Linked DNA regions of Nothobranchius furzeri. The protein of the gene in region 2 interacts with the protein of the main gene of each other region in a biochemical or structural test. Links are inferred from orthologs where the notes say so. Each region holds a gene or a part of one and is shown on either strand. Other genes may lie near its edges.

Evidence for each region.
Region 1: of the proteins of akt1 (region 2) and mapkap1, one has a biochemical effect on the other in vitro, tested with the Homo sapiens proteins (3 studies listed by BioGRID, with this or other methods). The link is inferred for Nothobranchius furzeri from reciprocal best matches to the Homo sapiens genes AKT1 and MAPKAP1.
Region 3: of the proteins of akt1 (region 2) and ptpa, one has a biochemical effect on the other in vitro, tested with the Homo sapiens proteins (2 studies listed by BioGRID). The link is inferred for Nothobranchius furzeri from reciprocal best matches to the Homo sapiens genes AKT1 and PTPA.
Region 4: of the proteins of akt1 (region 2) and skp2, one has a biochemical effect on the other in vitro, tested with the Homo sapiens proteins (4 studies listed by BioGRID, with this or other methods). The link is inferred for Nothobranchius furzeri from reciprocal best matches to the Homo sapiens genes AKT1 and SKP2.
Region 5: of the proteins of akt1 (region 2) and mxd1, one has a biochemical effect on the other in vitro, tested with the Homo sapiens proteins (2 studies listed by BioGRID, with this or other methods). The link is inferred for Nothobranchius furzeri from reciprocal best matches to the Homo sapiens genes AKT1 and MXD1.
Region 6: of the proteins of akt1 (region 2) and rapamycin-insensitive companion of mTOR, one has a biochemical effect on the other in vitro, tested with the Homo sapiens proteins (7 studies listed by BioGRID, with this or other methods). The link is inferred for Nothobranchius furzeri from reciprocal best matches to the Homo sapiens genes AKT1 and RICTOR.

The regions. Positions count from the first base shown.
Region 1 is NC_091746.1:37,008,283-37,011,782, reverse strand, and holds part of mapkap1 (target of rapamycin complex 2 subunit MAPKAP1), read right to left. Parts: intron 3,331-3,500; coding exon 3,241-3,330; intron 2,132-3,240; coding exon 1,983-2,131; intron 1,786-1,982; coding exon 1,613-1,785; intron 361-1,612; coding exon 184-360; intron 1-183. UniProt on the Homo sapiens protein: Component of the mechanistic target of rapamycin complex 2 (mTORC2), which transduces signals from growth factors to pathways involved in proliferation, cytoskeletal organization, lipogenesis and anabolic output.
Region 2 is NC_091758.1:33,917,168-33,920,667, forward strand, and holds part of akt1 (RAC-alpha serine/threonine-protein kinase), read right to left. Parts: intron 3,201-3,500; coding exon 3,072-3,200; intron 1-3,071. UniProt on the Homo sapiens protein: AKT1 is one of 3 closely related serine/threonine-protein kinases (AKT1, AKT2 and AKT3) called the AKT kinase, and which regulate many processes including metabolism, proliferation, cell survival, growth and angiogenesis.
Region 3 is NC_091746.1:70,997,707-71,001,895, forward strand, and holds the start of ptpa (serine/threonine-protein phosphatase 2A activator), read right to left. Parts: upstream 2,801-4,189; 5' UTR 2,679-2,800; coding exon 2,654-2,678; intron 1,979-2,653; coding exon 1,869-1,978; intron 1,673-1,868; coding exon 1,586-1,672; intron 449-1,585; coding exon 323-448; intron 246-322; coding exon 128-245; intron 9-127; coding exon 1-8. UniProt on the Homo sapiens protein: PPIases accelerate the folding of proteins. It catalyzes the cis-trans isomerization of proline imidic peptide bonds in oligopeptides. Acts as a regulatory subunit for serine/threonine-protein phosphatase 2A (PP2A).
Region 4 is NC_091746.1:70,411,010-70,414,481, reverse strand, and holds the end of skp2 (S-phase kinase-associated protein 2), read left to right. Parts: intron 1-2,249; coding exon 2,250-2,301; intron 2,302-2,377; coding exon 2,378-2,485; intron 2,486-2,619; coding exon 2,620-2,824; 3' UTR 2,825-2,972; downstream 2,973-3,472. UniProt on the Homo sapiens protein: Substrate recognition component of a SCF (SKP1-CUL1-F-box protein) E3 ubiquitin-protein ligase complex which mediates the ubiquitination and subsequent proteasomal degradation of target proteins involved in cell cycle progression, signal transduction and transcription.
Region 5 is NC_091757.1:29,115,900-29,119,884, forward strand, and holds the start of mxd1 (max dimerization protein 1), read left to right. Parts: upstream 1-1,185; 5' UTR 1,186-1,301; coding exon 1,302-1,326; intron 1,327-1,725; coding exon 1,726-1,770; intron 1,771-2,446; exon of another isoform or gene 2,447-3,227; coding exon of another isoform or gene 3,228-3,294; intron 3,295-3,697; exon of another isoform or gene 3,698-3,755; intron 3,756-3,859; coding exon 3,860-3,959; intron 3,960-3,985. Other genes in the region: snrnp27 (U4/U6.U5 small nuclear ribonucleoprotein 27 kDa protein), read left to right, coding at 1-31, 142-221, 486-550, 864-918. UniProt on the Homo sapiens protein: Component of a transcriptional repressor complex together with MAX. In complex with MAX binds to the core DNA sequence 5'-CAC[GA]TG-3'. Antagonizes MYC transcriptional activity by competing with MYC for MAX binding.
Region 6 is NC_091757.1:36,654,161-36,657,660, reverse strand, and holds part of rapamycin-insensitive companion of mTOR, read right to left. Parts: intron 3,276-3,500; coding exon 3,016-3,275; intron 2,925-3,015; coding exon 2,721-2,924; intron 2,635-2,720; coding exon 2,482-2,634; intron 2,133-2,481; coding exon 2,009-2,132; intron 1-2,008. UniProt on the Homo sapiens protein: Component of the mechanistic target of rapamycin complex 2 (mTORC2), which transduces signals from growth factors to pathways involved in proliferation, cytoskeletal organization, lipogenesis and anabolic output.

The DNA.
Region 1 (3,500 bases), on a different chromosome or scaffold from region 2:
TTGCTGTTCTTGCACCTGGAAAGCAGATTGAATTGCTTCTGCGTATGAAATGTTCTATATAAATAACGCTGGCTTGCCTATTCACAGTTGAACGTTACAAAATAGCACTATTGGTGCTTGATAACAATCAGGTTTGCTAAAAATGTATTGCATTTTGTCAAAATATGATTATTCTGAGCTTACATTCTGACAAACAGTGATTGTCTAGAAGTGAGGCCAGGGGATGAATATTTCTCCACCAGCGCTAAAGTGCTGAAGCCAAACTTGTGGATTGGTTCGTTGGAGTCCAGCGGCGGGAAGTCGGTGTCCACCTCACCATCATCCTCAGCAATGTGGAGGCAGTAGGCATCTACATTCTCACTGTAGGCAGGAGCAGAGGGACACTTAACAGCTGTCACACAGAGGCAGACCAATACTGGTGCATAATGCACTTCCTGGTCAAGCTGTTATGTGGAAGTTTCAGGAAGGTTAGCCACAACAGGAACAAAGCTGAGAGATTGCAGAATCCCTTGTTCCACGGAGGGCTGTCTCAAAGCCAGTTTCAGGCTCTTCTCAGAGATGAGTCCAGGGTGACAAGATCGCAACCCTAACACCTTCAAGGAGGGAGTTTGTTCTGGAATCATCTGAAGGTCATTGGAACCATCTTTGAGACAGCACTGCAGGCTGGTTTAGAATGGTTAAACCACATTGCTGATTCTTATTATTTCACACACTTACTTATACACAGATGAACATCATTACTGTCATGTGACTACATTCACTGAAAGCTTGAAACAGATCAGGTGTCAAGTAACTTTAACCAACCAATTTCATCATTCTTCTCACATTCAGAACATCATCACATGGGGATTTTTTGGCCTGACCAGCCAGCCCCACCCTCGGAGAATTCTAATCGAGCCAATCAGTGCTGAGCAGCGTACGTCACACACCGCAATGCTGAGTTTCTCATAAACATGGCGTCTGAAGTGGAGTTTGCTGCGGCTCTTTCCTCTGTTCTAAATGACTTGGACATGTCTTTAAAACCACAACAAGAGGAAGCGATAAAAGCCTTTCTTCTAAAGAAAGATGTTTGCACCTTCGCCAAATGCCATTTTTGACTACAGCTGAAAAACTACAGCGTTGCGTGGTACAGTCTGCATTACGCCTTTTTTCTGATTGGTTATTTTTGAGCTGGCTAGTCCCGCCCCTCATGTACCTCCCTGCCTGTGAGTAACCAGACTAGTTCTCTGTGTAGACAGAGGATGAGTCTGGCAGGCCAGGCTAGGGATTTACCAAGACACTACTCATGATCAGTAAACAGCATGAGGTGATCTGTATGCTACGCAGAAACACCACTCAGCACAACAATTGCGATGATTATGAGCATTGTGCTCAGTCGCTGGCTTTTTGTCAGACTCTGAACCAGTGAAGCATCAAGTAGAAAGCTCTGGAATAACGAGTGACTCCACCCCCTAGCCAATCAGTGACTGACTTGGTCAGAACGCTAGGAACCACAATCAAGCAGGTACTGAAAAGTTGGGAGAAAATTACTGGAAGTGCCACAGACCCATCAGTGAAGTGGGTTGAGTGAAGAAACACAGCTGGAATTTTCTTGGGATGTCTTTGAACTCACTTGAGTTTGGGTTCTCTCCCTTCGCCTGTATACTGCCAACAAATGAGCCCGATGAGGTCGTGGACGCGGGCATTTGCAATGGTGACCACAGTCATTGGATGCACTTTCTCCTGAGTCATCTGCATTGAGAGGTAAACGTCGATCTTTTTCGTAGCTGTCGTTCCGATGTGACCCTAAAGTTGTAGAGAGTAAGAACTTTCAGCTCTAAATTAGTTTCTTTTAACATCTCCTCTGAGCCCGCCTACCTACAGCACAGATGAGTTAGTTTTACCATTCAATGCCTAACATACACACCTTTAGCCATTAGGCAGTGGGTGATCACAAAGGTCAAACTAAAGTGACATAGATGGACCGATAAAGGGATTCTCACCTTGCCATCAAACTTGGAGTATTCATTAAAGGGGTTGTTGAGCTGCTGAGGACACTGCTCCAGACGCAGGGACAAGGTGGATTTAGTTCCCAATGTCCGCAGCCTGTCCTTATAATCCCGTTTCTCAAACAGAGAGCCCAGATCTTCTACTGAACAGAAAATCAAAAAGTAGTAAACATAAATATATTCATGCCACTTTTATTTAAAGATGTGGATCACTGAAAAACCATTTTAATGATTATTTCTGATTATAATCAGTCACACTGAGATTTCATGCAGGCAGAACATGAAAATGGTCTCCTACACCTATCTCCTGCATTAGCTTCTAATAGAAAATAGACGGGGAAACTCTACGATTTGATAAGCCTGACAGATCTACGTCACACTGTCATTTAAGATTCATGGACTCACTCATTTTGACTCGAGATGGGAAGGGCTGTTGTTGAGTCAAGTATAGAGCAGAGGATGTCTCAACTAGTAGCCATTAGCATTAGCAACTCCACCACACAGCAGAACTCCTCCACGCTTGAGTTAGATGTGGAGATAAAACATCAACGTTACAGAGCAAACAGTCAGGGGTAAAGTTGCGTTGCTGTTAGCCAATCAGAGGTGAGATGTCCAAATATCAGGAAAGTCCAAAGTCAGGAGAGTCCAAAACCTATCGTCTGAAGCTAGTTTTTCCTCCAACTGACGTCCTGATTACGTGCATCTGAGCTTTTTTCCCCCTGAGTATGACTTGCTTACAAGGCATTTATTCCTACTAGAGACCACTGCAAATGTTTAAATTATGGAACCACTCCTTTAAGAATCATAAAAAATTTGATATTTGATGTTCCATATTATTAAATCACACAGACGACTGCGTTCAGTCCTTGTTTCAGATCTGTTGCAGCCCTACTCATTGTAAAAACAAAAGAATATGTTTAACAGTCACAACATGTTAGTTTTCATGTGTTTAACGGGAAATCCAAACTTTAAAAAGGGTTGTGGATATTTTAGATCTGGGTGATAAGGCCATAAAATATGATCACAATATTTAAATGAATAATTGAATACAAAATAGATCTAATAAAACAAAAATACATGACTATGTTATTTATGCCTTAAATGACCACACATGATCCTAATACACTAAAAGATGTGCAAGAACTCCCCTTTTACAGCAATGTTTGTCTAACCTGTTGGAACGTGATGATGACATCAGAGCTAAAACAGACGAGAGAAAAATTGATTATTTGAAACAATTTAAACTACGTACCAGACTGGGAGGATGTCCGGTCCTTCCACTGAACATTTTTACATTTTATTTGGTTCTGACGTTCTTTCCTCAGTCTTTCAAGCCTCTGAGCTGAAAACAAAAAGATGTTTCATTTTTATGTAATGGGAAAACAGTTCTGATTCACCGAAACCTGGTGAAACAGAGTTGGTATTTATGTAAATCGCATCATAACATGGTAAAACAAAACCCAACTGCACAGTAAAAACAAACGATATCCACTGCATTATTACTGTAATAAA
Region 2 (3,500 bases):
TGGACTATTATACACAGCCTTCTTCAAGTACACCGACACGCACGACAGCCAGATGCCGTAAAGCAGCCTCCGCCTCCCAGACAAACAGAAGAAGACGCCGCATGGCTACATTGCAATTTCCCACGCGAGTTGTCTCCGATCCAAGTTTTGTCTGCCAAATAAATAAACAAAAACATAAACAGTGAATTTGGGAGGCGCTTCACAGCCCAACTTAATTAGCATACCAAGTCCGACACGTAGTTGTATATTCACGCTTATGTGCTTAAAGGAAAACTCCCGTTTATTGCAACCCAGACTTAATTTCTAGCATGCAGTACGTTTGTTTACTCACGCTGACAACTTTGGTGCTACTTGGATTCCCCGGGGTATTTAGATCCATCAGCGAATCGCCATCAGTGTATATCCATATAACGGGTGCGGACGGGCACCCATGGTGCAGCCTCGAAATAAGACATTATCTGCACCAAAACACATCTCAATGTCGAAAGGTTTTGTTAGAAATCATTAACATGATTCCCCTGTTCGTTTGGAGCGGGTCTGGGATTTCTAGGCGTGAACAGACTAGCTGCGGCTAATTAACCGGCGCTTTTAATGACGTCACTGCCGTGCGCCAGTCTGTTTTTATTAAGATTACCGGTAGATGTACCTTTGTCCTACTGTGGAGAAATTCCTTTTCTCCCTTTATTGGCCAACAGAGTTGTTCAAAAGTACAGAACAAAACATATGGCATTACATCTTATGACAAAAATGCACCTTAAACAGAGTTTAAGCAGCAAAACATCACTCTGCAAATAGTGTATTCATAGTGAGACAATTCATGATTTAAAGTGTTAACTTTCACCAGTTTTTGTATGCACGTTTTAAAAAATGCTGATACTTGAAAGGTTTAAGCACTTAATACACTTAATTCTTAACATTTAATTTTTGCAATATAAATTGAGGAATGTTATTTTTCGAATAAACTTGCTCAATAAATTGGTGTTTTTAAATAGTATCGAAATCGAGCATCGAGTTATTTTTCAAGTATCGAATCAAGTTTGAAATTTTAGTATCGTGACAACCCTAATGCACACACACACATATGTACCTCATTAGAAAGCCAGGATGCTTGTGATTCCAGTCATGTATGCCAATCAAGGATATAACATAACAATAACTGCAGACACAGTAAATGCTTTCGTCAAGCTACTCTAGAATTAAAATAATGTCTAACTCATCGTCCGAAGGCTCGTATCACTGACGGAATAGAACCATCTTGAACAAAAATGCTCTTTAATGCAATTCAATTCAAGTTTATTTATATAGCGCCAAATCACGACGAGTCGTCTCAAGGCACTTCATATAATAAACATTCCGATCCAGGTCAGTTCATTAAGCCAATCAGAAAAAAGTTTCCTATATAAAGGAACCCAGCAAATTGCATCAAGTCACCGACTAGTGTCAGTGACTTGATGCAATCCTCATACTAAGCAAGCATGCAGCAACAGTGGAGAGGAAAACTCCCTTTTAACAGGAAGAAACCTCCAGAGAATCCTGGCTCAGTATAAGCAGCCATCCTCCACGACTCACTGGGGATCGAGAAGACAGAGCAGGCACAAGGGTCCAATAAAAGCACTCCATAGACTCGTCAACAAGTCACCCAACATAATATATGGCTGGAAACACTAAAATTTCCTTCAGATGCATCTCTTCGGCAGCCTCATATCAGCTTCAAACCTCTGAGCGACATCCTATTTGATGCAATAGGTGAAGGGCAAACGCTTCAACTCCTGGCCAATAGGTCAGATGTGCCACCCCCTACTCTCACTTGTGTAGCTTGGAAATTTTACGGCACAGTATATTGTTGACTGAAGCATCAAATGGGGCCAAGGAAATTCTAAAAACTAAAATTCCGAGCATGACAACAGACAGGTGAGTGGTGGTTCTATGCTAATTCCTGCAATTGTGATGTCACAAACGGAGACTTTTTGAATCAACTTGTTTTATGCATACAATTCCTAAACCAAAAAGTGACCAAAACAGATGGAAAGCTGTTTTCCATGTTTTGAGTGTTTACAGGTAGTACAGAACCAACTAGCAGCACAGAAAGTTTCATTTGAATTACATACCCCAATTAAACAACTGGCAATGCGTTACTTTTCTCTGATTTTAGGCCATCAGCTAACTTTTTTATGCATCTCTTTAAAACCAATTCCCTTAACTCTGGGACAATATAAACATGTTACTTCAGTGTATTTAAATAGATTCATTTTTACCACATCGTGTGAAAGCCTTAACTATCACATGATGTTATCAAGTCCAGTTTCCACGTAAACATCCTCAATACCATGATTTCAAAATGTAACCCAAACTCTTGGCTTTCTAAATCAATTTAGACTCAATGCAGCAAATTGGCTGTTTTTAAGTTTATTGAGGACTGATGCACACAAAAAATATACATTTTGAACTTGAAGTTATGTAATCATTGTGCATTCCTTTTGAAATCCAGAAAAGAATCCAGGGAATCCTGGAAAGCCCTGGGTAAGCTACAATCTGCTGCATTCTCCAAGTGGCTTTGTGCATCCTGTGTTTAGAGTTCCTGAGGTTAACAAATAGCTAAACTGAAACCACACTTTAAAAACACTAGTTATGCACTCAATGTGGCAATGATGAGCAGGGGAAAAAAAAACCTTATCAGCTGAACAGACTCTTAGAAAAAAGGTGCAAAACACTGAGTATTTTGTCCTAGATGTAGTATTTATACATTAGCGTCGATAACGGATTTATTGTGACAGTTTGAGGAAATGCATTCAGGACATCTAGGAGGGCTCGCCACGAAAGCAAACCAAAATCAATAGTCTTTTTACTCTCGATTCCCTTTCAGTAAGGATATTATTAGGCTTTTAGACACAGTTTCCCCCAGAATACAAAGGGTTTAAACTATATTTTACAAACAGGACACATCTGAGAACAAGTATGTGAAAGTACTTCTAACAACAAAGCAAGTAAAAAGAAGAAAAGCATCAAACTGGAGGGTAGAACAAGCTGCCAAGACACAGAGAAGAGGGGGTTTCTTTGGAGCAGACACTCACGTGCTACAGAGAAGTTATTTAAGGGGGTTTCCAGCTGGTCAACATCTTGTGGTCGCTCTTTGTATCCGATAAATGTACCGTCACTCTTGAGGAGAAAATACCTTGGCCTCCAGGTTTTGATGTATTCTCCTGATTTGACAAAACAGGAAACAAAAAACAGTTAAGTGATGAAAGATGAGGAAAAAAAAGTTGCATTTTAGAATCTCCGCTGCTTACTCAGGAGTTTGTTTTGTTTTCCCAAAATGATAAGTGCAACAGTTTTGTGATTTTATGATCAACAACAAACAGGTTGTTCCCTTTAACACGTTTGCAGTTACAGTGGTGCTCATTCTTGTTATCTATGACACAAAGGCTGAATTTAGCAAACATCTGGACACATTTTTTCTGCATTTTCATTATTCTATGATGCACTCTGGTTAAAATACTACA
Region 3 (4,189 bases), on a different chromosome or scaffold from region 2:
TTCATGACCTGAGAACACAAACTCCATCAGACCTCCAGAGGGTCTGGAGGACCGTCCCTTCAGAACCAGTTTAACAGGAAGTCTGGCTGCCGGGAAGGGAAGCAGGATCAGAATCCCACTTTGTTACCCGTTCCATAGTCTATCCTGGTGGGGTTCCCGACCGACTCTTTCAGGTAGACGGCAATCTCTGGAGCAGCAGCGGATCTGTCGGCAGGAAGTACGGCGGACACCAAGGTCTCGGCTTCCTGGGAACACACAGGAACGACACACTCAGCATCAACGGCGTGGGGGTTCGGCGGTGTGGGAGGAAGTCTGAACCAACCTGCTCCAGTTTGGCAAACCAGGTTCTGTAGGCTTTGTTACCGAAACGCGACGGCTGGTCAACAGGAGGAGTCTCGTTTATCCAACGGTCCAAAGTCCCCAAAAGCTCCAGCAGCCTGTCCACCGTCTGCAACAAGCAACCACATGAAGCGGCTTCATCACCTGCTGTTCGAAGCGTCAGAACACCTCCACGAGTAGGAGGAACCGGAACGCTGCAGAGGGAAAACCTCCTCCTTAAGGGTAGGGTTGTCACGGTAACCAGTGTAGCGGTAAACCCCGGTAAAAAAGTTGACAATAATAATAACCATCTTGTTTTTTTAAAACATATGTTATCTCGGTGGATTACCGTGGCTGCGGTGTAGGCGCGGTGACCCTTACCAGCCACCGTATCATCTGCTGAAGTTGCCGGCGGCACATGCGCACTTTGTTGTTTACAACCAAAACTTTCTTGAAGCTAAAGCTGAAATAATGGCCAAAGGAGGAGACGGCAGCGCTCAGGAGTACATTTATTATCCCTCAAAGAAGACAAAGTGGGAAGTACGGGCATCTTTTGGATATCTGAAGAATGCCGAGGGACAGTTGATAGAAGACGGCTATCCTGTTTGCAGCAGGTGCAGAAAAAGTGTCTGTGAAAGGCAGCAACGCTTCAAATCTCATGACACATCTGCGTGACCATCACCCACAACTCTACAGTCAACGCAAGGCAAGCTAACGTTAGCGCTTTAGCTAAAATGCGTGATCCGAGGATTTGGGTTGAGGGAGAATGCAACGAGTCGCTATATAAAGCAGCCGCAGTGCCGCTACCTGCATATAAACCGTGTCGCGGACACCGCCATGTTGAAATGACGCTATGCATGACGGGGCTCCCAGGGGCAGATAAGAGTTGGTCTCTCCGAGAATAATTATGAATTTAACAATGATTACTGCCTGATGACATTTTCCCAAATCTGCAAAGCTCACTGGAAGGACACAAACCGAGGACAATATTTTCCTGATATACAGGGTTTATTTAGTTGTCTGAAAATGTAACACGTTTAAAAAAATACCGCGTTAATACCGAAAACCGTGATAATTTTGGTCACAATAACTGAGGGGTTACATTTTCACACCGTGACAACCCTACTTAAGGGACTTTGTTTGTCCGCTGAGACAAAAACTGGAGAACCGTGTTCTCAGTCCAAAGGAACTCCGTCTCTAGGAGGAACATCTCTAAAGGTGTCCGAGTCAAAATAAAAACCATTTCAGACATTAAAAAAAACCAAACCTCGGAGACTTCATATTCACACGACATCTTCTTTCCCTTCACTCCTTCATTCAGCGTGACGATGAAGCTTATGTAGTCGGCGTAGGCCTGTGGGGCACAAGCAGAACCTTAGACACACACCAGAGACGCCATGTCAGGTTCATGTCCTCCACCATCAGCTCAATCTGAACATCTGGTTTCTATAAAACTAAACTGATGGGGTTTTCTCCTTTAAACACAAGTCAGAGGAAAAGAACCAAACGGATGTGAGCTACATGTGTCAGAGCTGCAGGTAGACACCTACCTGAGATCTCTTCCACTTCCCCATGTCGGGCACCATGCTGATTTCCTTCTTAGGTATCATGAAGCTGGCCTGGGCGGAAACTTCAGGAGCTTCATCTTCAGGGGAGGAGGCTGAAAACATTCACTCAGTTAAATCATAAAGCTTTGGACCAAAAACTCTGGCTGACGGTGATTTTATATATTATTCTTATTTCACTGGACACAGAGGAAGTCCTGCTGTCATTCAGGTCTCAGCTCTAATTAATTTATTTAATTCTGTTGGATTAAATACGAAAATGAGTTTGTTGTTGCTAAAATCAGCATATTTAAATAGAAATAAGAACGGGCATCTACCCCCCCCCCCCCCCCACCCCCCCCAATAGTTATTTATGAAAGTTGTTCCTAGAAATATTGAATAGAGAAAAAATTAAATAAACTATTTGGAACATTATTGAAAAACACTGTAATTCAACGTTAAGAATACTTTCCGAGGTACATTCCTGCAGTAAAACACCGAAGATTGCCAAACAACCAACTGGATGTATTAAACGCTAAAAAAACATCACGAGCAATAAAAAATATTACAAATACATTTAAAATGAGACAGCATTTTAATCACGTGATTAAAATGTGAAGATAATGTTAGCTTATTCTGTCTCTAAGTCAGCGTGTATCTTCCGGGTTAGTTTAACCGCCGTAAAACTCGTTCTCATGGAGAAAAGCGGCTTAAACGCTACGATTAAAGACATTTTTACCACTTTGACTCTGAACTTAACGAAGAAACAACATCCCGGTGGATTTTTTTACCTGCCTGCTGCTTTGTTTCCGCCATGGCGACGCTCGCTCTTCTTCGTGGGTTTTGGAGAGTTTAACTCCGCCTCAGCTTATTACTGCGGCTAGGTGGCGAATGGTGGTACTACACCTTGAAAACCAAAGCTGGAAATACATGTTATCCACACCAAGACGCAAAATAAAATAAAATAAAATAAAATATAAAATAAAATAAAATAAAATAACCAGGCAAAATAGATTTAGAAGTTATTGTTTACAACTGTGTTGCGGCAAAAATCCGTCAGTTCAAGTGTGTTCTCTATAATTAATGTTTCTTTGGTTTCTGGTCAGGTCCCTGAGCGCTTTAAGAATGCTGTAACCAACCCAAATCTTTAAAAAAAACCCAGTCTTGACCCATCTCTAAACTTCCGTTCATCTCCAAGATCTTGGAAAAGGTTGTGGCCAAACAACTCACAGCTGATCTTGATGAACATAACATCTATGATGGTTTCCAGTCAGGTTTTCATAGAGCTCATTCAACTGAAACAGCTCTTCTTAGGGTCTTCTTAGAGACAATCATCATGCGGCGTTTGTGGTGGATCGGGTGAACCTTGAGGCGTCTGAACTATCAATGTGTGACAGTGTGAGTGTCCTGTCACAATGTCCCGATTGATCATGCGCCCTGGCTACTTGGCCATGGGGATGTCCCTTTGGCTGACTGGTAAGAACACATGACTCTCACCCGGGAGTCAGGGGATCGAATCCCGCCCGGGCCCTCGTTTCTCCACCTTGCCACATTTGGCGTTGTTGGCAGGATCCATGTAGTACTGTCAAGTAGGTCCATGGATGTGAAGTTTGTGGCACCCTGCGCGGGAGCACAAGGACGTGCTTGTGGAAAGAGTGGGGGAAGGTGGATGCATCTCATGTGAAGCAGACCCAGAGTTGAGACAGGCAAGCTTTCCTGATCCCAGAGTTCAGTTCCACTCCCATGACGTGATCACCCAAGAAGCGATCACGGAGCTTTTTTCCCAATTTTTGGAAATCCCCAGCCTGAGCAGGTGGTCTGCTAACGCCTGCGTCTGTGATTCCACTTCGGGCTCGGAGCATGTCAGCAGCAGCAGATCATAAAAGAGTAAAAGAGGATCCTCATGCCCGCAGTGCGTAAGGGTTGAAGCGCCATCTCCAGGCATTTGGAGAAAGTGCAAAGTGTGAGGACCCTAACCCGGGTGCACATAACTTAGAACCTGTTTTATTGTCAGTTTATGGAAGTGTTTTACCGCCATGAAGCGGTTGAACAAGGACAGATCGAGAACGGGCCTGGCTCCTCACGTCTTCTTCAGAACCAGGAAGTAGAGGGAGCAGAATCCTGAGTTTTCCTCGCCTTTCTGAACCCTGGAAATTGCTTCCTTTTCCAGGAGTTCCCTCAGCTCTGATCTAAGGGCAAGATAATTATCTGATGATGTCAGTTTGGTTACCACAATCCCCTCAAATGGCGGAGGACGAGACCGAAAATGAAGCTTGTGACCACGATATACAATGTTGTGAAACCATGCGCTCGTGTTGCAGATTCGT
Region 4 (3,472 bases), on a different chromosome or scaffold from region 2:
CTCCTCAGATACAGACATGTTTTAACCTGAATGAGTATCTTATTGTAATGTGTGTGAGTGTAAACAATGATTAACTTGTTACATCAACACACACTGATGTGTGGTATAAATGGATCATGGTAAGAACAATATTCATTTGAATTCATTGGTTTAAGCACAGATTATTCAATCATTTCATTTAATCCTCTTGTTCATTCATCACATGATTATTTAACTCATGAGTTGTAAAGTGGTGGAGTCTTCACCGGTTCAGAGTGAAGAATGTTACATGAAGAGAGTGTAGGACCTTGGGAGAGAACGTCTGGATGTTTTGTCTTCATGTATGTAAACACGCGCTGAACAGAACCTTCTGGTTCTGGAAGGCCAAACAGGAAGTGGATTTATGCCGCAGATGAAAGGTGAAAACCGACCCTTTTGGGCGTTACACTTTGAAGATGGGATGATGGTAAAATTTGTTGTTTATGGTTAAAAATGTGGCTAAACAGGAAGATATTATAATATCTTCATTCCTGATTAGAATTCCAAATATCATCATATTTTTAGTGATGTGAACTGGCGTTTTTATTTTGATCCACATCTCCAGCTTTTCCAGAACAATTGTGCTTTCCGACGTTTGTAAAAGAGGAAGTCTATAGTTTCTATATGACTTCAGCAGTTGTTGCTTTCTGTTAAAACGAGGTCTTAAGAATCTGGAACGATGGATTGCTTTCATTTTAAAGTGGGTTTCTTTAGCTTTCGGTGGTGCAGATGGTTTTCCAGGAAGTGAGGATTGGTTTAAGGCTGATATTATAGGAAGGCTTCTGCGTTTTCTGTCCGTTAACGGAAGGTGTTTTCTAGATGAGACAGGAACGGTCGGGATAGCAGATATTCTTGGGTTTGGATGATAAATTGCTCTGGAAGTGCGTTGTGTAATCTGCTAGTCACGTTCAGAAGGATTAAAATTGTATCTTCTGCAGATTTTCATAATTCAAGATGACCGCCTAGATCCATTAAGTGTATAATCGACCATATATCACCTAACCAGTCCCTACAGAACAGTGGTTTGTTTTGTCCAACATAAATAGATCGTTCCTAATAACTATAGAGCGTGGAGAGTAGTTACGTACATATATGATTTTCCAACACAGTAAAATGTGTTTAGGTTTAGGAACAAGTGATGTGTCGGTCGCGAACGAACCGGCTCTAAGAGCCGGCTCTTTGAAGAGAACGACGGGAGCCGTCCCCTCCCCCACCCCTCTTGCTTTGGTGAAAGCTACAGGCGATTGGTTAACATGTGTAACTGTGTGTCCAGACTGTCCACACACAGAGCAGTAGGGGCGGGGAAGAGGGAGGATCAGACTCAGACACACAGCAGAGCACCTGCGGGCGGAGGGAGGCGAGCGGGAATGAGGAGGAGGAAAAAGGCGAGCGAGAGAGAGGAGAGTGCGACGAAGACGGTGAGAAAATGAGCGCCAGCAGTCGGAAAGTGGAGATTTCTTAAAGTGTTCAATTATTAAATCCATAGAAATGATAAATATTTGATATACATCATTTTTTTACATTAGTAAATCCTTTTACATATAGTTTAGCATTATTTTGGTTATAAATGTACTCTACACAACAGAAAATCTGAGGAGCCACTTGGGAGCCGAAAGAACCGGAATTCCCATCACTATTAGGAACGTCAGTGGCGTCCATCTTCTCCGAGTTGGACCCTGGAACTCAAAACTGGAACGCACAATGGCTCTCCTGTTGTGTGATCAGACTCGACATGGTGTTTTGAGAGTCTGATGAATAAAAAATGGGTTCGCGCGCTATTATTAGAACATTTTAAGATCGATAGTACTCCGAGAGCGAGCAACGCCTAAATGAACTTTGTGTTGCTGACGACCTGTACAGACGAGTGTCTGATGGTGACGTACACACGTGTAATCATTGGTGTGGCAGTTTGGTGCGACTCACCTTAAATGTAACATTTCAGCCCAAAACCGTCGTCGTGTCCCCGTCTTCAGGTTAAAACTCGGCTCCGCAGCCATGCAGAACCAGCTGGTTGGGCCAGTTCATCCACAGGATGACCCCTGACCCTGCTGCCGCGTTCAAACACATCAGATATGGATCAGAATCAGTACCACATATGGATCGGGTTTGCAAAAATCGGATCGGTGCTGTTCAGACATAAAAAAGCCGATACGGGTCTCATGTGGGGGAAACTTGGATTTGATCCAGCCTAAAGTAGAACCGGAACATGAACGGGTTTGTTTCTGTTCTAGATGTGAAGGTTCTGGTGGACCGGTGTCCTCACATCCAGACTCTAGATCTGAGGTAGGACTGTTTCCTTCAGTCATGTGACAACCCCCCCCTACCAGGTGAGCAGCACTAACCCAGGTGTGTTTTCCAGTGACGGCACCCTCCTGACGGCCAACAGCTTCCCGGTTCTCCGGCAGCTCCGGAAGCTGCTGCACCTGTCTCTGAGTCGCTGCTATCACATCCACCTGGCTGCTCTCAGGTCAGTTCTAATGCAACAGGTCGGGCAGAACCAAGAGCCCACCAGTACTGGTTCTGAATCAGCTGACTGATGTCAAAGGTTCCGCTGATCCAATGGTTTCAGAGGACTAACTGGTTCTGTCCCGGTGTTTGCAGCGACCTGGAGAAGCTGATCCCGTCGCTCCGGTTCCTGGACATCTTTGGACTGGTCCAGGAGAACCAGCTGTTGTCTCTGAAGGAGGAGCTTCCCCACATTAGCATCAACTCCAGACCCTTCTCCGCCGTGGCCCGGCCCACTCCCGCCTCCCGGCCGGACCGCAGCATGTGGGGCAGGACGTGTCGGCTCAGGGCGGGACCCTGACGGGGTTCTGCTGCAGCACGCTGGTCGTGCCACTAGTCCTACCGGACTTCTCGGGTTTTACGCTAGTATTGGTTCTGCCCGGCCCATACGGGCTGAAAGTTCTGGTTCTGCTCAGTAATAAGCTGTTGATTTTAATCATTGAAGTTTTTCTACCGCATGAAGTTCGACTCTGATCCATTTTAAATAATCAGTGAATGTTTTCAGAACCGCAAGTTTTTTATCCGAGTCGGATCCATTAAACCATTCCAAATCCTGAAACAGTTCTGATGTGTGGAACCCGGTCCTGAGTGCTGTGTGGAACCCGGTCCTGAGTGATGTGTGGAACCCGGTCCTGAGTGTTGTGTGGAACCCGGTCCTGAGTGCTGTGTGGAACCCGGTCCTGAGTGCTGTGTGGAACCCGGTCCTGAGTGTTGTGTGGAACCCGGCTCTTGAGTGATGTGTGGAACCCGGTCCTGAGTGATGTGTGGAACCCGGTCCTGAGTGTTGTGTGGAACCCGGTCCTGAGTGCTGTGTGGAACCCGGTCCTGAGTGCTGTGTGGAACCCGGTCCTGAGTGTTGTGTGGAACCCGGTCCTGAGTGATGTGTGGAACCCGGTCCTGAGTGTTGTGTGGAACCCGGCTCTTGAGTGATGTGTGGAACCCGGTCCTG
Region 5 (3,985 bases), on a different chromosome or scaffold from region 2:
GACAAGTCTTCAAAGCCCATCCAGATCTCAGGTTTTGTGTTGCTGATTGTTTTCAGAAAGAAATCCTTTGTTCAGTTTGCTGGACATTTATAAACGTCTTTAAACAATGAGTTAAATCAGATATTCTTTCTGTTTTTACAGCAGAGGACATGCAGGGCAAAACGGAGGAGGAAATTGAAATGATGAAGTTAATGGGATTTTCTTCATTTGATTCTTCTAAAGTGAGTGAAAAATGTGTGCATGCAGCCACCAGGTGGCGCTGTGTTCCTGAGTTGTGGCCATTCACCACGACGGCTTCATGCTTGCTGATACTTCGCAGTTTTAAGACTGTTTGACATTCAGAAAACGACACAAGACAGGAAGTGCACCATCAGCCACTGTCTAGTAGCGTTTGCTGATTGATGAACTGTAAATGTAATAGACCACATCAGGATAGCATCTGCAGCATGTATTTCTGTTTGTGATTGAACATTGTTTTCCCACAGGGGAAGAAAACAGATGGATCAGTTAATGCATTTGCCATCAACGTTAGCATGAAGAGAAAGTACAGGTACGTTCACAGAGAAAAATATCAAGTTAGCCTGCAAATACTGAAGTTTAGCGGTGTCATGGAGAATTTTGTGCATAGCACATTAAGCAGAGCGACTTTTAAAATGATTGTTGAAGCAGCTAATTTTTAATAAACAAAGTTTTATCCTGTTGGGAAATTGGCATTACAAGCAGCAACCACTATTAAAGTAGCCAATCACGTCAGCAGGTGTCTCTCTGCAGAGAATCCTGCTCTCCTATTGACTCTTGATGATGTAATCTGCAAGTGTTGAGAGGGAAGTTGTGATGCACTGTTGTTCTAAATGTTTTTACAGGCAGTACATGAACAGAAAGGGAGGATTCAACAGGCCGCTGGATTTCATCGCTTGAAAATGTCACGCTGCATTTCCTCCTTTTTCCAGCAAGGGGAGGACATGGATTACATGCTGTTAAATGTGATGCAGCAGTTCTGTGTATATATTATCACTCAACATGTAGTTGTTCCTTCAGTTATTTAGTTTTTGTTGCTGTGCTTTTTACGTGTTGTTGGAAATAAACTCTTTGAAATTGATGGTGTGCTGATTATGTAGAGCATGTGTTTCTTTTTCTGCCCAGATCTGCACAAACATGTCAATTTGTGTTGATGTATTTGAGGAGTCGTCACTAGTACCAGAGACCAGGGAGCTTCGTCTAATCCAATGTCTCCTCTGGACAGAGATACCTGGGGTCGTTCCTGAGATCGGCTGGAGCCACTAGTCCAGTTGAAAACTCAAATGTGTCAAAAGATCTTCACATATTGTGAGTTTTCTGTAAATGTGAAAGTTTTTGTCAGATTACTGCAGCATCTCACAGTCCCACACATCTATGCAAAAGCGGAGCTTTAAAGATAGATTAAATAAAAGTTTAACTTTATTGAAGTTTCAAACAACAGAAGTGTGTGTTGTAAATGTTCTTGCATTTTTTATTTATTTTTTATTAGGGTTTGGATTTTTGGTGCATAAGAGTACCTGGAAGGTACTTTTCGTTGCACGAGAATGATAAAGGAGTTGTCTCGGTTTCTTTTCTTTTCTTTTTTTCTTTCTTTTTTTTTTTTTTTTTTTTTTTGTTTGTTTTGTTAACATATTTTTCGTCGTTTCACGTTGATTGCATTCAGGAACATTGTGTACTTTTTTTGAATGCGGGTCCGCTTCTTTTCAGTGTGCCGGCGAATGAACCTGGCGGAAGTGATGAGCGGCGACGGAGGTCAGTCAGATTGATTGAGCAGATTATTGCACTGCTAGAAATGTATACATATAAATTCTATTCAGATAGATTCCTGCATAAAACCTACTATGGTGGGCGTGTTGGACTCGTAACACTGCGTAAGCTCCGTCCACCCGGCGCGCTGGTACGTGCGTTGATATTTCAGTCTAGATGTTTTCACAGAGTAACAAGTTAATGTGTGTGTATGTGAGTAATAAAGTTTCTATTAAAAAGTTTGTGAAAGTGCGCTTGCGCGCACATTGCAGGTTGTGATAGGAAAAGTAAAGGGACTATCAAACCAATCGTAGAAGGAAGAAGTGAGGCAAACAACACCACGAGAGCCAATCACAGCCGTACACCACGAAACAGCATGGCAGGGAGGCGTGGCTTCTGTTAAAGGGACGTTGACATTTTCGTGAGCTCGTGGGCATCGGAGCCAATAGCTGACAAGTTTACCTGAAAACAGCCAATCACAGAACGTGAATTCAGTATTGAGAAAAGCCGTCCATTATGGCTCCCTAGTTGTTTACTGTCTAGTCCACAGACATCGGTCTAGTTCACTTAAGAACCAAAATGGCGTGGACGGTTATCAGTTGCAGTGTGGGTCGATCCCTTTGAGTCATTGATGTTTTAGACAGCCAATAAAAGCTGGAGTGGATATAGTCAACATCCAATCATGTGACAGCACACAGCGGCTTTGTGTTACAGTACAGTTGGGAGCTGCTATCCACATAAGCCTCTATTTTGGATGCACTTTGACAAATTTCCGCCGTTCTGTGTCAGTCGTTACATTCAGCTAGACGAGGCACGCGTTTTTAGTGATAACCAGTACATAACCAGCTAGCCAAAAAGTCTGGAACCAAAACGGCTGGATTGCATCGTCAAGATAATCCAGGAATTAGTTCATCTTTTTAAAATATTCCTGATTTCCGGCAAGTGCGTCCAGCCTAACAGCATCTTTTTGTTTTTTGGCTGATGACTTGAACCTAAAGTCGTTTGTAGTCAGTCGCTAACGTTTGCCAACTTTTTGTTGTTATTCCTAAAACTAGTCAGAAAATACTATCGATTTTTTGTTTCGTTTTTATCAACAGCCATCTGTATTTCTTGAAGAGAGATTCGTCTAACCAGTGATACTAAGTCACCCAAATCAAATGGTTTAAAGGTATAATCTTAGCTGTGGGGAAGTGTTAGCGTCTACCGTGGCTAAAAGGCTACCACCAAGCCTTTAAAGCTGTTTTTTTATATAGGAGAAACCAGTTTCGCTTTCCACGTCTTTTATCGGGACCTTTTATTTTAAAAATCGATTGATTGAAATCCTGCAGAAGCAACTCGAAAACAACATTTTAGAACAATAAGTGAGAACAACAGGGAACCCAAGAGTTCAGAAATAGAAGCGTGACTACAGTAACGGAATCCCTCGTTGGATTATTGTAATATTATTAGTGTTATTGTTGAAAATGGCGTCGATCGAAATGGTGCAGATGTTGATCGAAGCAGCAGAGTACCTCGATCGCAGGGAACGAGGTAAAGTATATTTTAATTCTAATTCTATGCTGTTAAAAAACAACACATTCCCACTTCGTTCATGTCTGCCCATTATCACGCTGATCGGGCTCTTTATGCGTCCGGCAAATAGGTTTTATATTCTTAAGTTGCACATCCTGTTCTTAACCCAGGTGTTCATCGTTGACTATGATGATGACAATAAATAGGATTTATAAAATATGAATGGTGCAGTGATTAACGTGCATTGTGCATCTTTTATGAAAGGAGAAATCATGCAAATGCTATTAAAAATATAGGAACACAATGTTTAGTTGCAAGCTCCTCCTTTCCTTCTGTTGTGGTTTGCTGGTAGGGTTTATCGTAGTTCAGGATGACATCATTGTCCAAGCTGTGAGGGTGGGTGGGGGGGCACTGTTTAAAGATACTGCATTATTAAATCCGTTCATTCCATGCATGCATCCCAGCATAACACATTGGATGTAAGATGATGCAGATGGGGATGTGTGCAACATCTCGTGTCTCCCACCCTGGCTATGTTTGCAGATAACAGGACATGTGACCACTGTTGTTTATTTGCTTGCAGAAGCTGAACACGGCTATGCCTCCATGCCACCCTTCATCAGCAGCAGAGAGAGGGAAAGCTTGAAAAGGAAAAGCAAAAGCAAGAAAAACACAAGTAGCAGGTAAAGGCATACTCAGCTTGTTGAAT
Region 6 (3,500 bases), on a different chromosome or scaffold from region 2:
GTGTCCTGCTGGGAAATTTAGTCGGGATCAGAGTTGGTGATTTTTGGACCTTACCTCTATTCTAGAGCAGGGCCCTTTAATTATCATAGAATACATTTTATGGGACTTAGGGCTGGGCGATGCGGCCTAAAATCAATATCACATTATATTGAAGACTTCACCTCAATAACGATAAATGGATAACTAAATGTAAGCTCAGAAACAAACGTTGTCCACTAGATGGGGCTCTCACATCGTCATGTAACCAAGGTGGTACCGCTTCTTAAAGCTACGCCAACGGTCACACATCTTTATTTTTATATATTATCGAATTTATTGTCATGGGAAAAATGATATTGAGTCAGAAATTTCAATAACGATACATGTTCAATTTACTGCCCACCCCTAGGATATTTTTAAAACTGATCCAAAGAGACTCTGAAGGACTAGATCACACATTTACTTATTCTAAGCTAGATAACTTTAATTCTTTATTATCAGTGTTGTTTTAATTATTCTCCTCAAAGCCTCCAGCTGATCCCAAAGGTCGCTACCAGGGTTCTGATGAAGAGAGGATCTGATTTCTCCTGTTTAAGCATCACTTCATTCATTATATTCTTACTTCTGAAACTCTGAAAGCAGCATCTTAGATATTAGTTACCGTTTATCCAGATGTCCACAACAGAATGCCCGGCTCTCAGGCTGCAGCTTTGCTTGTGATTTCTAACGTTTCTAAAGGTAGATTAGGAGGCAGAGCGTACAGCTCTCAGGCCTCTCCCTTTGGAGGCACACGCCTGCTCTACTTTTAAACTAGGCTCTCCTATTTGATAAAATACGGTCATCTTGGCTCACCCTTTTAGTTATGCTGCTACAGGCTTAAGCTTGGTTTATGCTTGACGCATTCACTTTCCGCTTGGTGATGCGGCTCGCGGCTGGAACGCGCTTCCCAACTTGCAGCGTTTATGGTTCATGCGGCTTGTCTCTGCGGTGAGCCAATATTCTCCCAAACTGTAGGGGGCAGCATGGAGCTCTATGGCATGTATCCAACACTACACCATAGTAGAAGTAGAAATTATTGTTTACAACATGACATTCCAGCATTTTTTTAACAGCGTCCTCGTCTTTTCCGACAGTGCGAGCTATTTCTCTCCAAGAATTATTAACAACATGTTGATCACGGTGATCTCTGAGAGCTGAATCATACAAATGTCTGTATTTACGAACCTCTGCCATACTAGTTCTTGCCGGTCCGCCATGTTTTTCCGCGTCCGACCGTCCGCGTGGTTAGAAAATTTCCTAGGTGCACGGTGCGGAAATTTTGGGCCGTGCGGAGGTGCGGTGGGGGAGTGTGGTAGTTAAAATGACGCAATTTCGCCGCGCGAAGCTGTGCGGACCTCGCGGATGCGTCAAGCATAAACCAACCTTAAGACAGTCAAGTGAATAAAATGACTAAAGTCGTCAATTGCCTTTATTAATGGGGCGGGCGTGGAACGAGCACCCTGAGAGTAAACATCACGACTCTACAGGTGGATCTTCATCTGTGTGTGTCACATGTCACATGATCATGAAGCAGACAATCCATGAACTAGGAGATCAGTTTGGGACGCCGCTCTGCCTAAAGTGAGGCGCAAACTGGAAAAAGCTCCTGCAGCTCACATGTCAACAACGGACAGTGAAAGAACGGCAAGAGTAAAAAACATGTTGATTCATCTTTACATGGTCATAGAGCACAATGTTCTGAGACTCTTCAAAAAAACTGTAAAAACGCTCAAAAACGCTGGCCATCAGGAGTTTTCTGTTCATAAAATGGCTGGCAGTGACGGATTTATAGTTACAGTTGTTAACTTTGCTCTACAGGAACGAATACTGGCCCAGTCATTCTGAGTTGGACTCTTTCCTGTCCTCTCAGAGAAAATAAACGTGATGGAGAGCATCGATCCATCACTACTGAGCATCAGAGACCCAAATAAACCCCTCATCGGCAGACCGAAGGACCAGTTTTACAGCTGAACTACAACACCAGACTTACGTCAGTAGTCCTGTTTCGTGGCCTTTGGTTCCTACAGAAGAGCTGAGATTGATGATGAGTCGGAGAATCTCCTTCCTCAGCAAGACTCGAGAGGCGGGGCCATCCTCAGATATTGCCTTTCCACCTAGAGGACAAAAAAGTAGATATTCCGATTTGTATATTCATAATCATTCAGCAGCATGTTAGGGTCAAATGTTTTAACACGAACAAATAAATCATTAACAAACATCTAAATTCCTACAGGTAGACAGCAAAGTACAGCTCAAGCTTTGGAGTTCATGAGCCTCAGGGAACGAGGCTGCTCATCACCTGCCAGAAGGAAGGAGTGTGAACAGGTTGACTCCAAGCTGCTGCTGACATTAATTCATATGTTTGAAGATGAATCCAAGAATCTGATCTGACTAATGTGTGATAATGTGGCCTTTATGCCCTCCTATATAAAAGATACACGTTGTGGATGGAGGAGCACATACCAATGACGATGTCTCCAGGTGTGGGCGTGCTGGAGATGGACCCTTGTGAGACGGCAGCGTCGCTGCAGCCCGACACCCCAGAGAACTTGGACTGAGGCATCACCTCCAACCGATGCCCGCTCTGGCCTCCCCATGAAGGAAAATCCACATAATCTGGGGATTTAAAACAAACAGAGGTTTTATTGTTATTCTACACTAAGGAACACTATCATCCTTGCTAAAAGAATGTGTGCCCTCACCTCGAGGGTGTGTGCTGTTGATCTGTGGCTTTGTGGGGTATCCGAGGACAATGGCTCCCACACAGTAGAGGCAGTTTTCCTCAGTGTGATCCTGCAGGCCCGTCTCCTCCGAGCCCACCATGTGGTTAGGAGTGTCACCTCGGCACACGATCAGCTCAGAGATGCTAAACTGTTGCTTCAGTAATGGGACAGTGGGTCGATCCCCTACAGAGATAACCAAACAAAATGATCTTTTTCAAAATACTGTTCCTCTGTTGGGTTTGATCATTTAGTCAGACGTGATGCTGCGTTGTACCATCTCCATCACCAAACAGGAAGCGTTTCCGTTCCTCTGATGGTGGGCTGATCCTCTGCTGGAAGTAGGTAGATTCTCGGATGTGAAACATATCGTTGATGTTCATCGGCAGTGCCAGGCCAATGTAGTCGTCGTTACAGCCAAAGGTGGCGCTGGGGACCACGGAGCGCACTGACGAGCAGCGCTGCAGAGTGCTCTGGTTGATGGGGCTGAGGAGTTCCTCTTTATCCAGCGAGGCAAAGCTGAGAGCTTTCAGAAACCTAGGGAGGGCAAGAGGACAGGTGCGTGAGAGGATCCGGGGGGAGAGGCTGGGCGAGAATAGGAACACAGGCAGTAGGGGGAAATGCATCGGGTAAAACGACAGATGGCGATTGATCAAAGAGGGCAGCTTCACAAAGAGCAATCACTCATCTGCAGACAGTTGTTCAAAGAGAGAAAACTTCATTTTGACCACAAATCCACTTCTCCTGAACTTTAGGAGGAAT